Linked DNA regions of Schizosaccharomyces pombe. The protein of the gene in region 2 interacts with the protein of the main gene of each other region in a pairwise test. Each region holds a gene or a part of one and is shown on either strand. Other genes may lie near its edges.

Region 1 (5,678 bases), on a different chromosome or scaffold from region 2:
GAAATTGGGTATAATATTCGAAAAAAAATTAGCAAACTCGCTATTTTATGCTATTTATTAATTCTTTCTGTTCTTACTGTGAAAGATATTTCTTATATTCCACTTACGTTTGAACTGAGGCTCTTGCTGTATTTTAACTTACGGCTTGCAGTATCAATATAACTATTGCTACTAGAAATTACCTTTAGTCTACGTATTCCATTGAAGCTCTCCGAACGCATCATCTATAGGAAGTTTATTTCTTTTGGAACGGCAAATTTGCCAACTTCTTGTCTGTGAACATATTTTTGTGATTGTATTCTTTCTTCTCAATTCCTTTATTTCATGCTAAGTTGAGCTATTTGATTTCATTTTAGAGCATATACCGGTACATAACTTATTAAATTCTGATTCCATAACAGGAGTGGAATTGATTTACTAATTCTCGGAGTACATTTATTGTAAATTTGAGCATCTCTATTATTTTGGCTTATTTTAGTTAATTATTGACTGTAAACCAACAACATGACTACATTACTGGAAACACCTGGATATAGTGAAAAACTTCATGATTCGATTGAAAAAAAACTTTCTGAATATGGGTGGGGAGAAGAGGCTGCTTCTCTGGCCGATTTTGTTCTTGTGATGCTTAGCAATGGAAAAACACAAACTGAAATTAATGAAGAACTAGTTGATTTAATAGGGTCCGATTTTGATACTAGCTTCTCACTTTGGTTATTTAATCAAATTGAAGAGCTTGAAAAATCAAAAAATGCTTCAGTTGAGTCAGTCAGCAAGATCGACGAAATCGATTTTATCGAGAAGGAGTCAACTGACAAGTCGCAGCAATCTTTCTCTGTGCCGGAAACTAGCATACAACCTCAATCTTCTCAAACTCCTAATATAACTTCGTTACGTGAAGAGAAGGAGCTACCTACTGGGCGTGTCGGACAAAAGCTCAAACTTACATCTCAGAAACAGCGATTCAATCCCATGGCAGCTTCGTTTAACTACTCGAAATCCGTTATGCCTGCTGCCAAGCGTGCTCTCACTCAAACCCAAGAGGTCCCTTTGTGCAAATATGCCGATAAGTGCTCCCGTGCTAACGTATGTATTAATATCAGATAATTTGTTAAAACTAACTCTTTAGTGTATATTTGCTCATCCGACACCAGCCGCAGCCCCAGGAGAAGGTATGGTCCTGAGCAGTGAAATGTGTGCTTCTGGTAAAGAATGCAAAGCTGCTGATGTAAGTACCATAATAATTTAAATCTAACTATTACTAACGTATACAGTGTGTCAAGGGACATCCATCTCCAGCTACGGTTACTACATTACCACCTTTCATGTCCATGTCAACCATTCCAATTCCTTGTAAATATAAACCGTGTTTGAATCCAGCTTGTCGTTTTATCCACCCGACGAAAAGCAGAAATATGACATGGCGGCCACCCTCTAAAACAGAAGAGACGTCCCTGAGTGAACGTTCGTTTGCTGTTAACGAGTCAGAAGAACAACTTCATGTTCCTTCTGTGTAAATTTAGAGAATTATGATACTATTTCGTGTTCGTATAATTGGCACATATCTACTTTTGATAGTCAAGCCAGGATACTTCGTTTAAGAACATACCTTCTAGAGTTTGCAAACTTGATATTTATTTTATTGTATAGATTGCTAAAACGATAAAGTTTTATTTGTCGCTACGTTTGCTGCAATCGGCAATTATCAAGTCGCTAAATTGATTTAAAAAATTTGTTTTCGTTATATTGATGTCTTTTTAGTGAATGAAAATTTTATTTTGATGTGAATTATGCAAATAATGATTTATTTACTTCTTCGGTTAAGTTAATATTATACATATTCAAATACCCACGTTTGTTGACATTCATTACTAAATACATCTTATGTTACTTGTTGGTTACTTGGCTTACACCATGTTGTTGACAACAATCACTTGGTATTTACATTCGCCAGTTTTACGTCTATACACATACCCTTTAGTTAAAAGGTTTTTTTTAATTGAATGGAGGTCCCTTCTTATTTTGACCCCGATTATGATCCTTCGTCTCTTCGAGTAGTAGATTTGCGTAATATATTAACTGAATATCAAATATACTATCCGTCAACGGCGAAGAAAGCGCAGTTAATCACGCTTTTCAGTAAACTACGAAGGGCAAAAAATGGCTTGATCTCTATGACAGAATTGCAGCAAAAGAACGTTCCTCCGTCTTCTCGTAGTCCTCGTAGAAGGGTGGCAGGGGTTACGAATAATGTTACTGCTCGAATTAGCTCTAAGAGAAAAATAAATATGGTTGACGAGGCTAATGATACAGAAATTTCTAAAACTTCACAATTTGAAGATAATGTGATGGGGATGTTACAGGACGAGAACGTTCAAGTTTTGAATACTAACACGATAACCATTTCAGAAGAATCTGAATTTCATGCCTCAAAGATTGCCAAAATAGATTCGCGAAACGAAGAAATAACACATATACCATTTGAGACGCAAACTGAGCTTAATGCGGCAGTTGTAAACCTCGACAACTCAATGGAATCGTCTTTTTCAATTGTCCAGAATTTAACAAACAAGGATTCTTCTGTAGACACCGCTACTTACGATTTTTCTGCAGAAGTTGGTAATATCGTAACACCTGCTTCAAAGTTTTTAGACTATGATCAAAGCTATCTTGTTAATGCCTCCGTGTCGGGTGATCCAACGCCAGTAAAGGTATTGAACACGACGTCTCCAAAAAGCGAAAATCCATTGAACCAAAGTTCTTTTCTCAGTTTCTTAGGCGAAAACCTAAAGCCTAAGTTTACCTCCCGTTCGTCAAGCGTTTACGCTTCTCCTATCAAGTCGTCGTTGAATTCGCTTGAATGTAATCCAAGTAACCTTCTTTCAGTCAGAAAAAATTTTCAACAAAGTTCCGACTCTTATCTCAAATCAAACAAGTCATTTGACCAACTCAACAATTTGGTTGGCTTGTCTACTGGTAATTCGGAGAACTTCACTCCAGAAAATAACAGTTTTTCATGGACTCATCCCAAAAAGAATTCATCATCACCCCTTCCTCAATCTCAATCTTCCTCAATTTTTGTAGAACACCTAAATCAGCTGTACGAAGCAAATGCATCAATTCATCGTCCTGTCAACCCTGCGTTTTCTACAAATTTTGGGTTAGAAGCATCTAATACATCGACGCCAGAGAAGAAAAAATTTGATTCCCAAAAACCCGACGATGATTCGGTTAATGAGATTTCTTCTGATCTCGGTCTTAGTACTACGGGTATTGATCGCGTGGAGGAAAATATTTCCTTGACTAAGGATAGGCAACCTAAAAGGCCATACTTTAGTCTTGGTTCATTCATTTCTTTAATTTTCTCTTTTACCAAAGTGGTAAATTCCTTATGGCTTGTATTGCTTGTCGTACCTCTCTTGGGATTTGTAGGCTTTTGGCATCAAGAAGTACAGCGCGTTGGCTTCTGTGGAGTTCCTGCCGAACCTTATCCTTCTAGTCTATATTATCTCCAACCAGGAGTTTTACGTTCCTCTATTGAGTCTGCATATTCATTTGCTCACTCTTTAGGAATTGAAGCCTCTTGTCAACCTTGTCCTGAGAACGCTGAATGTGGTTTCAATCGTCAGTTATTTTGCAAAGAAGGATTAAAGGCTTCGTTTCCTTTACTTGCAGATTTCGGCTTAAAACCATACCCACGATGTATTCCGAATACCGTGAAGGTTAATAAGGTTGAAGAGATGGTGCAGGCATTTATGTCTATTATCGGAAAGTGGTACTATAAAGCCCCTAAAGAATTTGCCACTTTTGAAAGTGCAAAGAATTTAAACGGAAAATCATTTGTTGACAATTTTAAGGATCGATATTACATGTATAAGCAGGACATCGATAATGTAGTCGGACTTAAAGATTTTAAAGTATATCTGAAGACTACTTTAAACCGTCTATATAATTCAAAGCTGACAAGAAAAGTACTATATTACTTATTTTCTCCACTATTTACTCTTGAGCTATGGAAGCTCCGAGTACGTGGGGCATTGAGTAAATTTCCGACTAATTGTTTGCGATCTGTCTACTCTCATACAGTTTCCTTAATGAAGTATTTGACTTCAGCAGTTATATCCTGTTGGCGAATTTACTTGTTGATTGGTATATTGGCAGCTATTACCGGTACCGTTGTATGGCGAATAAGAGTCTATGCCAAGAAGCATGTAGTAAAGCATGGAGTCTCCGTATGCGTTTCACATTGTATTGCTAAGCTACAAAAAACCAAGCTAAAGTCCTTGACAGATTTTTCTGTCAATCCTCGTGTAGAAGTCGTGCAGCTACGTTCTGACTGTTTTGTATCTGGAGTCGCAGATGACAAGGGCCTTTTTGAACTTGTACATCTCCCTTTGTCAATTCAATTAGAAATATGGGAAAAGGTGGTTTCAGTCCTTGAAGGAATGGTAAGCGTAAAGGTATGGGACAGTGAGCGCTTGGCAAAAAATCGTGCTTGGGAATGGATCGGGGTTTTTTCAGATGACATTGCCTTATAAAATACGGTTAGATATATAAAAAATGACCTTAAGGTCAAACTTTATGAATGTCGTTTGGCATGATGATTTATGAATCTAGATACGAGTGCAGCATCAGTAGGTACTATTATGTCAACATTATTTTCCTCACGTTAATATAATTATTTTTTAGTTATTGCACTTTGTTAAGCACAGGAGCTTATAGATTGAAACACTATCGAAAAATTTAATCAACAGATTCGAAAATTTCATTAATTTAACATTGGTTTTTCTAATTAAAAAAAGAATATCAAATTTAGACCCGAACCGTTTGCATTAGCTGTCTAAAAGAGCATTTCAAATTAGCATTTGGCATCCGGCCTCAATGAAAATAAAGAGTTCCATGTGACAGTTCTTATTTTGAAGGGTTCTGGCATGTTTGTAAAAATTCAATGCCTCGACGGTATTGAACGGTACAGTCTAAAACAGGTCTAATACACTTTTAGAGTTCTAGGACTAAAAATGAACGATAAACAAGGGCCATAAAATGCTCCAAATCAAACAAAAGCCAAACTCGCAAATTGAATTATCTTTATTGCAATATAACTCTAAATACGCAGAAATATGAAATTTATAGAATATGAAATTAAAATAGAATCTGGGAAACTCAACAAAGAAATAATTAACACGTTTAGTATAAGATAAAATAGTAAAGACAAATAAGAAAGATTAATGCAATGCACTTGCTACGAGATTTCGTAAAGCTTTACAAAGTAGTTCAACATCGCCAGAGTAACGACCGGAAGCATAGAAAAACTTTTCGTCCGAATAAACCCAGTGAGCAGTTTTGGGCCCTGGTACGTATTTCGATTCAGGAATATAAGTATAAGTATAAGCCGGAGGATTAGATGCGCCAAATAAATAAGACGCTCTTTCCATATAAAGTGGAGTCGTAGTCGATTTAATCTCAAGATTGGGAGCAGCCCGCTGAACAGCGATTGCTCCTTGAGCCATTGTTGCTAAAACGCGGGTGCCACTAACACGGGCACATAAAGGTATATAGTCAGCTAACAATGAACTGAGACGAGGAGACTCTACAAGTTCTAAAACAGCGGGATCCTGCCCTCCTGGCACATAAACCAAGTCAAAGTTTTCAAAGGTAAAGCTCATATCAGACATATT
Region 2 (5,447 bases):
CTCTTACTACACTATGGTTCACTGGTTTTAACCTTACAACAAGCTCTAACCCAACTGTAACTTATAACCTTACAATGGCTCTAACCTGACAGTAGCTTGTAACCTAATAGCGGCTCGTGAACCTACCATAACTAGTGTGCTTTGTTACAAATCGGTGAATAAAGTAATTTTACTATTACCGTTTAGGAACATACTCATACAACTGCTCTTCGGCGTTAATATTGCGGTCCGACACGTTGGTTAATAAAACTATCTCCTCCGGGATTTCCTTGCTGTAGCCATTACGATATGCGACGTTGATTCACAAGATGTTGCATTATAGCATCCTGACTTGAACCACCTGCAAAAATTTTTTTCATTCTTAGGCGTTTGTTTATTTACTCACCACCCACAGGTGATAATTTGCTATTCACGTTGCACTGCTTTACTTACCGAACGGATCAATTCCACATAGCGAGAGATATCGTAAACGGCAAACAATGTCTGAATTTTCATATGAGTTATTCCACATTGTCAGCTCTATCTACTTTGATGGATCACAAGTTTTCCCGGATTTTAGGGTTGCTCAATAAGCTAACATCGGTTTCGGCCCATGAATGATGTCCAGCGCATGGTTTCTCGTTTGTGTCGCAACACCTAGTCCTGAAGTAGCTGAGTGAGTGTATAAGGTACAGAAATGAAATGAAGTCGTGAGATGAATACACAATCATGAGACATACTTGGCGCCACGTTGAGTAATTGAAATGATTGAACCTTTTTTGACGGTTGGTTGAGCAGATTGATTATTGAGGTTTTATTTATTAGGATTCATTATGTAGCGCACAGGATCAAATACTAGGTTGTGCAATACTACTCGACATTGCCTCAATTCATTACTTTCGCTAGCCAAAAAAACAATACGGGCTAATTGGAAGTTAAACGTGCCATAAATTTCGTCCTTGTTGAAATACTGACGTTTTCAAAGTTACGCATAGCTTGTCTTTGATTCCTTATATACAACATTGTGCAGTTTCTGTTGAATGTAGTGAAACCAAGCGATGAATAAGCTCAAAACATGAAAATTTTTCGTTTCATTTTTTTTTGACAGGACCGTATCAGTGTCGCAGTAAAATGGGATCCTAAGTATGCAAAAACAAGCAGTTAGTTAGACAATTTATGGTTGCGTATTGCTGCTACCTTCGCAATCGGCACAATATTCAAGCAATTTGAAAGCGACTGAATGCCCGAATTTCATTGGCTATATGATGAAAAGCGAAAATCCTACTTTGACGAACTATAAAGTATAATATTCAGCGGCAATGTTGTATTAAACAGTAGAAAGGTTTATTAAAGGTTTATTAAATGTTTATTTACTCAATTGATCATTGTTGAAATTTGCTTTTGAAAATCATTGGCGTAGATTCTCGTGTCGATGAAATGTATCCCTAACAAACGCAAAAACGTTTTTTCAATGCCTAGAAATTGAAGTCGTTGAACTACTACTACAGCAAAATGCCAAATCTGTTTACTTAACTGATTAAAAGTGAAACGATACTGAATACTTTTGATTTTTCAAATAAATTTGGTAGCATATGATCGGTTTCTTGTTCTTTTTCTTTAAAAATTGGAAATCTAAATGCAAACGAAGTAATATTAATAGTGGTAAAAATATTAATAGGTATGGAACTTGCTATTTTATAAGGCTGCTTTATTACTTGAATCCATCAAACTTCTCACTTCACTGAACAGTTTTGCCATGCTCTCACGAAAACTCCTAAATTACCAAACCTGTTTTTTATATAAACACGCGAATTGCTGGATTTGGATCCTATCAGCTTCAAGTACTTAATTCATCAGCGTTCAAACCCTCTTGTATTAACAGTCTACCATTTTTATTCATCAAATATTTCTCGCTTTATTTCCATATATTATGTTATGAATATTTATCGATTGTCAGCGATATATAACGTAGTAAATTCTTAGTGTATACACTTACCGTAAACACAACAAAACTCTTTCTCAGCAGTCAATCTTCGTACCGTCCATTTCTAGTGTGTTTATCTTGGTATTGTATCCTTTATTGTTTGTGAAGGAATTTTCCAGTATTGGAATTGGAATGATACCTCAAGAAAGGTATACTCTGCTAGGGTAGGATCAATTACATACATTGTGTGTATAGGTATCTGTTTTCACATAAAAAAGGCGTCAACGATAATTCGTCTGTTATTAATAATTTATACATTCGCATAAAGCGATCAAAAAGGCATTCAATTACAGAATCCTACTTAAGCTTCACTTTTTTGAATACGAACACTAATTCAAATTCTCGCCTTCCAATACTCTCTTTTCAATTTTTGTCTCTCTTTTTACATATTTATTTATCACTGATTCGTTTGTATATTTTTCTTTTAATTTTCAAATAGCCTTTTATACATCAATGTTTACTAATACACCGGTTGGAGGGAAAAGAGAGCGTCAAAATGGCGCTCATCCAGCTTGGTCGACGTTAGGAGCGAACTCTGCTCAGATTCATCAAAATACGGCTGATTTGGCCTCCAAAATGCATAAACTTCGCTATACAAAGATAAGGTCCCCTCCTACCAGGGTGTCCATTGAATCAATTACTCCTAAACAAAGATTTCCAGCTCCCAATTTCGAACAGGCTTACCACTCTAATATTCGATACGAGCAAGAGGAATCTGATAACGAAGAATTTGAAAACGTAGTGAAAAATGGACACGAAGCTTCGACGAATGTATTCTATGAATCAGATGGAGATGATGAAGAGTTTGTCAATGAAGAATACGAAAACAGCATCGACGAGGAAAGTGATGATGAAGGGTATAGCTTGAACGAGGATACCACCGCAACAAATGCCAGTTTTAGGTACCCGATGAATCAAAGATCTACAAGGAAATCTCAATTTTATTCCTCAAAATTTAAACCATTACTTTGGTTCGGTATCACTCTCTTTTCGACTCTCCTAATAATTACTCTACTTCACAAGGGTCAAGAATTTTACTCAAGATCATTTTCATCAGATAATTCCCAACCATCTAATTCGCCCGTACCAAACATTCCTCCTGCATCCAATGACACCAAAACAAGTTTAAAGCCAGATATTATTAAAGACTTCACAGATTCACCTTCTAAAGTTGGCGGCAATGAGGAATTCGATTATTCGACGGGAGATTTAATTACAAAAAAGGAATTTGACAAGATTTTACAACAAAAAGTAGAGCAATTAAAACAGTCGCTAAAGGAGGAGATGTCTAATTACAAATCATCGGTCCCATTTGAAGTTGAACTAAATGACGATTGGAAGTTCTTCATCGAATCTACGGTTCGAAAATACTTGACCGATCCGGTTTCCATGCCGAATTTTGCATTGCTCTCAACAGGAGCGGAAGTACTACCTGCCTTAACCTCAAAACGCTATGTGAGACGACCATCTGCATTCATACCACGATTTACCTCCTATTTCTTTGATTCGCTCGTTGTTAGAGGACACGAACCTAGCATAGCATTAACTCCCAACAACGCAGTTGCGATGTGTTGGAGCTTTCAAGGTTCAGAGGGACAATTAGGAATTTCCCTATCACGCCCTGTATATGTAACCAATGTCACAATAGAGCACGTTCAGCACAAGATTGCTCATGATCTTTCTAGCGCTCCCAAGGACTTTGAGTTGTGGGTTCAGGGAATGTCCAGCAAGATGTTTGTATTGTTGGGAAAGGCGAGATATTCTTTAACGGAAGACTCTATTCAAACTTTTTCGTTTGAATCCTCCAATTATATTGTCGCTGAACCGATACAGAATGTGATCTTAAAAATAAAAAGCAACTGGGGAAATCCCAATTACACATGCTTGTATCAAGTTCGAGTTCATGGGACTGTACCCAATGCAGACGAACAACCAATACCTTCTTTAGGTGAGAAAGCCGAAAGTACTGCAGAGAATACGGGTCAAGATTCATCTTAAAGACCTACAAAATGTAAGATATAAAAATAATCTAGCCTGGAATGGTTTGAAGATCATAAAAGAGCGATTCTCTTTTTCGATTTTCCTCATCTGCTTCCTCGAGCATCAATATCTTTCCCACTGTTTCTGGAGGATTTAAATTGAAGTTTTTTGCACGTTTCCAGCGTTGCATCCTTGTCATACCAAGATATGGTCCATATCTTGCCGTAGTGTCAAAGTGATGCAAAATGAACTCTACTTTGGTTATATTTTCACAATGTATTGGTTCACTAATCCTTTCAGCCATAATTTGATTCCAAGCCTCTTCTACCTCTTTTGAAAGCTCATCGTCTTCTTTAATTCTCTCATCCAAGGTTTTGGTTGTAATTGTAACATCGGGTGTAGGCGACTGTTCAGAACTCACTTTCTTCCCTATGTGGGATTGACTTGAATTACTTCGAACTACATGTGGAAACACGTCGCGAATATTAGTGTTTTGCCCTGATTTTTTCGCTTGAGTAGTGCGCTTCTTCATACTGCGTGATATAATTCTGTAACACTGCGGTACTAGAATGAAAGGTGCACTATAAATCCAATTCTTTTTCGTGTTTACTCAATTTAGAGCATTAGTTTGTTTGGCCAAAAGAAATCTCTGAAAAAGTACATTTGGTTGCAAGTGTACTTTTAATATGTATATATAACTTTAGATGACTACTATAGCGATGTTTAAAATGCGTCACGCTGACGAGAAAATAAGTATCCAGCCATCCGCTCGTTCTTTATCGTTATACATATATCAGCCTTCATATATATTATTATTCATTTAGGTCCAAGTATTTAAGTGCATTATTGATAATTATTAAAATAGAAACTTCTTGACGACCCCTATTTCGGTATTTCTAGTTCGTTGTTGGAGCAAACAAGAAGTAAACAATACTCGTTATTAGTTCAGATAGTATTGTGGAAATTTCATAATTAGATACAAGTATTTTAGCAATACGTGTTGTCTTAATCCAGCCTTGGTCATGCAATTGAATCACTTGCCAGCCTTCCTAACATATCTTTAATACGTTTCTAAAAAGGGTTTTGGTCTTTACCGATTTAAAATAGGCAATTTCGTAAATGCAAATAGATATACTTATTAACATTTTCAAAATTTAAAAAATTTATAGTTAAATAGCTTTGAGTATTGCAAAATTTGTCTTTTGTGCTTTGCTAAAACAGCGTAACTTTTTACACTGCAATTGAAGCACAAAGACAGTTGAAACTTCAATTCCCTTACAGCTTTTAGTAATTTAAGTATCTAGTTTCATTAAGTTGTCTTTTTTTAAGGGCTTTTAAACTGTTAGTTATACAGTGGTAAACAAACTGACCGGGCTTTCTCAATGATTAAACTGCACTATCATTAAATACAGTGTAGTCAACCAAATTGTTATATTTTTTAATGCAGTCGATAAATTTACATAATGCTTTCAAACGTGAAAGACATCCTTCGTAAATCAAAATT
Region 3 (4,699 bases), on a different chromosome or scaffold from region 2:
GGCACATCTTTGCTTCAAATCAAAATGCCGCATTCTCCTCGAAATAGTGCTATGGGCAATTTTATGGTTTCTGTCGATTTTCAAGATAGAAATCAAAGATCTCTGAAGCAGGTTAAACGAACAGTCTTGCTTCCTCATAGGTCTCCTATTCACGAATACCTTAAGCTAATTGTATGTTCACCTCTTTACTTCATGGGGATTTTGGAAGAAACAGATATTGTCAATGTCCGTTTGTTCGAATCTGAAACATTTGCTAAAAGTTTTAATTCAATTACAACACTTTCCGTTAGATTTTCTGTCAAAAATACTCCAGCTCAAGCTATTGTCAAAATTTATTCTAAAGATATTGAATTTTACGAAGCGACTCTAGCTTTTGCATCAAAATTGCACGGCATGCGGTAAGTTTTACTTTTTGATTTACCTTCTTCATTTTTTTTACTTTACTCAATTTCTTTACCTGTTATACTTTTTCACAAACTAACTTGTCCTTACTAGCTGGTTCATGTATACGCATAAGGTTTCCGCATTTCTCGTTTTCACATCTTTATTTTGGTTTACGGGGATAACCTCAACGATAATTACCTATCTTATTGTCTCTTCCACATCTGAAACAAAAGCAACAAGACGTTGAATCTTCTCACATCTTCACTTGCATCTAAAATCATAATCGTCACAACCATAAAAATACATTATTATTAAATTAGAAAGTTCCATTATTGCTTTATCCGTTAGACCCATTATTCAGCTGCACCTTTATGTACAAAAAGTTGAAAAAGGGTAAAGCAATTTAAATCAGCACTGATTTTTTTTTTAGAAAAAAAAAATCTTTCGCTAGCATCTTCATTTTCGTCATTATTTATTAGTCGCCTAATTATCAAGAAGGCTGTACCAGTTCATACCGTCCATAAAGGAGTATAATTATATGTTCGCAAAATGTAAATACAACACGCAAAAAAGCTTGCAATAGCTCGGCGCACAATATGTAATCAAGTCCGTAAAAACAGGCAAAAAGAAAAAGGACGTAAAAAAGTCGCAAAATGTTGGATTTCATAACCGATAAAAGAAGCAAAGGTTGTCCTTTCGTTGCTAGAAAATGGGGGTTGTCTGCATTAACAGTATCTTGAGACGCCATAAAATCTTTAGAGGAGTTATTCATTGTTGTATTAGTTGCCATGAGTCCTGTTTCATCGTCACTAAAGCTCGAAAGAACTGTGCATTCGTGGCTTGATTCTTCATATGTTGGCATAGAGGAATCGTACCGACGACAAAAGTCGTTTAGGGTTGGAGACATTTTGGAAAGGCTTTGAATAATCCATTTTTGGATACCAATTTCCTCTGAAAGCATCAAAAATCCAGCAACCAATTCTTTGTTTCGCGAACTTTCAGCAGTAAGAGAGCTTTGCAATGATTGACTTATGTGTTTGCATTCTTCTATCGTTTTCTTTTGTTGTTTACATTTAAATTCCAATTCTCTTAATTCTTCACTTTCCCGCATTCCAACCGCAGGAATAGAAATGCAAACTGATGGTTGAGTGAAAGAAAGGCCAACCTCTTTGGAGTAAACCATTTCGTCAAGGTTAGAGGGTGATAAAAATTCATCTCCTTTTGGGTTATTAGACAAAGCAATTAAATGTTTTTCTCTAGTAAGATCATCTATGTGGTTGTTTAGCTGATTATTAGAATTTTTTAATTCATGGTTCTCTAAAGCAAGCCGACGAATAGTATTCTCATTTTCACTTGACCGAGATGCAGCCAAGCTTAATTCCTCAATTTTCTTAGTCTGATCTGTAAACTTACGCAAGAGAGTGGCATACCGAACTTGCAAGGCTGAAAGCTCTTTTTTTGTGGAGTAGAGGCCAGAGTTTGTCTGTATGAGTTCTGACTGAATTTTCTGAAAGTTTTTGTGAATGTTTAGATTTTGAGCCTTAAGAGTCTTAATTTGGTTATTTTGCGAATTATTGGCTACCTTAGATTCATTATATTTGGAATCTGCCATATTTAGTTGGTGGGTAAGTTCATTCACTTTTCCTTCTAAAATATCTACAGTACGAGATTTCTTTCTAGCTTGATCTCGAGCTTTATCTAACATATCCTGGAGTTCTGTGATTTGCTTGATTAGATCATGGTGCCCGTTGGAAAAATCAGGTTTATCCTTCCTAACAAGTGGCATCTCAGTATTTCTGGACGACGTATTTCTTCTTGTTAGAATTTTAATGACTTTTCTAAAAAAAAAATTCTTACCTATTTAGTGGTGTAGATTGGGCAAATGGAGTTCGAAGAATATTGACAAAATCACTGTCGGTAAATTGAGACATCGGCGGCAAGGACAGTCTCTTAGACATCATTTGAGAAGGGTTTAAGGATTCAGGAGAGGCATTAGAAGATGATTTTGAATGTGCAGAATTGACAGAGTGTTCATTTGCATCCTCTTTGATAGAATTTTTGGAATTCTGTTGCTCCATCGAAGGCTTTTCAGCTTGATTCGCAAAAGAGTCATCTTCGTTTTCAGTAAGTTTTTTATATACGTCTCGAAAATTATCCTTTGTAATAGAGAGATCTGCATTTTGCCGTACGAATTCGAGTGTACATTGTTTTTGGAATTCGCTCAAAAGAGGTGGTGCAGAAGCGGGATGTAAGAGTTGTAGGTCATTGATGATTGGCAAAAAGTTGGAAAGATGAACCTAAGAAAATTTTTTGTTAATAGTTTATCCTATTGGTAATTGGGTAAAGCGAGAAAAACCAGAGTCTTGAGAGTTTGTCTCTGACTCAATAAACAAGATCTACCTGCATAAGCAATCAATTTTTTTCATACTTTTCCTTCATGTTTAAAGTCATATGAATCGAAAATCAAGTCAAAATCGCGTTCATTTAGCATTTTGGAAAGGGAACTGGCAATTATAATTATACAGGAAACGAACCACAATTCTAGTGGGAATGGGATTCAGTTTTGAATTTTTTTGTTAGAATTTATCATAAAGCTGCGTGCATTTCATAACAGTTCACGAATTCACCGCATTTCTTAAGTGTTGTGAGTTGGGTTTCGTGCAAGGTCTATCCAAGGGTTTGGCAGTAGGGCTGTTGAGCAAGTGGTTTGAGAGACCAAAAAGAAGTACACAGAAAAAGACGGATTAAAATAAAACTTGAAAATAGATAAAAAGATGTTAGAAGAAATCATGTTTATGCTTGATTTAAGAGCAGCTAGAAAAGTAAGGCCACAACTTGGTCGTACTGTGCATACTTAAGTGATAATTCAAATGAAATCGCAAATTAAAAAAAAAAAAAAAAAAAATTATTTTTAGTGAAGTAGAAACTATTCGTATTTGTTTTATAGATCGATCGATTCCTCTGAGAACTTCAAGCGAATTTGCAGTAATTTAGAACGCCAGCATTTATAATTGCGGGTCAAACAACGATCGCCCAAGAATCTTTCATAGACTCCAAATAAGATTGGTTGATTACTTAACTTATATTTTGATCCTTGAATCGTTTTAGTCAATCAACGTCGTATATATTGTACTTTTTAAAAAATACAAGGTTTTGATCGTAAAAAAAGAAATGCATAGAAAAGGTCAGATTTTTTCATCCAAGAATGTGCAATAAATACAGAAATTACTTCTTTTTCTTTCAATTTAGCCAACTCTTTCGAAAACGTCTTCTATTTACATTTTCTATATAGCTACTACTCAGTCAAAACAGTTGGTTAGCATGTTACTTTATGAGAAGCGAGCGATGTGACGTCAAAGGTTTTTTGGCGAAATTAACACTGTCCATATGTATATGTGTTTGAGCGTGTAAAACCTGGTTTCTGCCATTTACATATTTTGAAACCTCTGTACGCTAGTTTAGTTATTTCTCGTATCATTTTATTTTTAACTGGTGCAAGAGACAAGAAAATTCATTTACTTTCGTGAAGATTTGAAAAATTCGTTTGTCAGCTTAGAATTCTTTGCTAGCAGCATTATTTGTACATTTTCAATTGGACCTCTCTTAGCTTTCAAATTTTATTAAATCTTCTTTGTTTTCTTTCTCTTTTGTACGAAGTGATCATCGAAAAGATAGAGAACATCGGGGTTTCCATTTATGGGCGATAATGTATTTTTAGAGCCTGATCCATGGGCATCTAGCAGTAATTGGGGTTCACCAGTGAAGCCTTTAAATTATAAAACAGCAATTGGTTAGTAAAAGTTTTGTTCTTCTGTTTTTTCCTTCTCAATTAATAGTTAATTTTACGGATCGATGCATTCTATCATTGATTTGTTTCTTTAGCTTGATTTTTTTTTTTTTCATCTTTCTTGCTTTTTTACTTACTTACTGTAATGATGCTAACCTTTTTCTTTTTCTTTTTTTTGTCTATAGGTAATTCATCCATTCCTTTGCAATATCGAAATTATTGGGACGTGTTTCAAGCAAACAATGTTCTCTTATTTCCAGAAGAAGAAAGTTATTCTGATATATTTCATGTTCCTCAAGATGTAATGAAAGAGTTCTTTACCTTGATTGAATCATCAAGCAATCAACCCTTACGGCAAATTCAGTTTTTCGTTTTGCTTGCCTTGGTTGCCTGTTATCAATTAGGTGTTCCTAGCACATTGGAACAGATTTTCAAGCAAAGAAATGGTAAGGCTTTTTTTTATCTTTGCTTTTTTTTGTCTTTTTGCTTACTTCCTCCTCCTTAGTCCTGCCCATTTTGCAGCGTTTT

The links.
Region 1: the proteins of sad1 (region 2) and man1 interact in a two-hybrid assay, tested with the Schizosaccharomyces pombe proteins (4 studies listed by BioGRID).
Region 3: the proteins of sad1 (region 2) and kms1 interact in binary tests that used the Schizosaccharomyces pombe proteins (3 or more experiments, as listed by UniProt).

The regions. Positions count from the first base shown.
Region 1 is NC_003424.3:5,234,644-5,240,321, reverse strand, and holds man1 (LEM domain-containing protein Man1), read left to right. Parts: upstream 1-1,943; 5' UTR 1,944-2,003; coding exon 2,004-4,538; 3' UTR 4,539-5,166; downstream 5,167-5,678. Other genes in the region: poly(A)-binding protein Nab2, read left to right, coding at 505-1,086, 1,130-1,228, 1,275-1,517; SPOM_SPAC14C4.04 (uncharacterized protein), read right to left, coding at 5,226-5,678. UniProt on the Schizosaccharomyces pombe protein: Required for correct meiotic chromosome segregation.
Region 2 is NC_003423.3:2,301,766-2,307,212, forward strand, and holds sad1 (protein Sad1), read left to right. Parts: upstream 1-2,000; 5' UTR 2,001-2,416; coding exon 2,417-3,961; 3' UTR 3,962-3,992; coding exon of another isoform or gene 3,993-4,475; 3' UTR 4,476-4,896; downstream 4,897-5,447. Other genes in the region: DNA polymerase delta subunit Cdm1, read right to left, coding at 3,993-4,475.
Region 3 is NC_003424.3:3,461,241-3,465,939, reverse strand, and holds kms1 (protein Kms1), read right to left. Parts: upstream 3,043-4,699; 5' UTR 2,876-3,042; coding exon 2,813-2,875; exon of another isoform or gene 2,682-2,812; coding exon 2,242-2,681; exon of another isoform or gene 2,196-2,241; coding exon 875-2,195; 3' UTR 632-874; downstream 1-631. Other genes in the region: sei1 (seipin), read left to right, coding at 1-398, 496-631. UniProt on the Schizosaccharomyces pombe protein: Has a role in karyogamy, recombination and segregation during meiosis. Although it has been shown to associate with the spindle pole body it is unlikely to be involved in its formation or maintenance.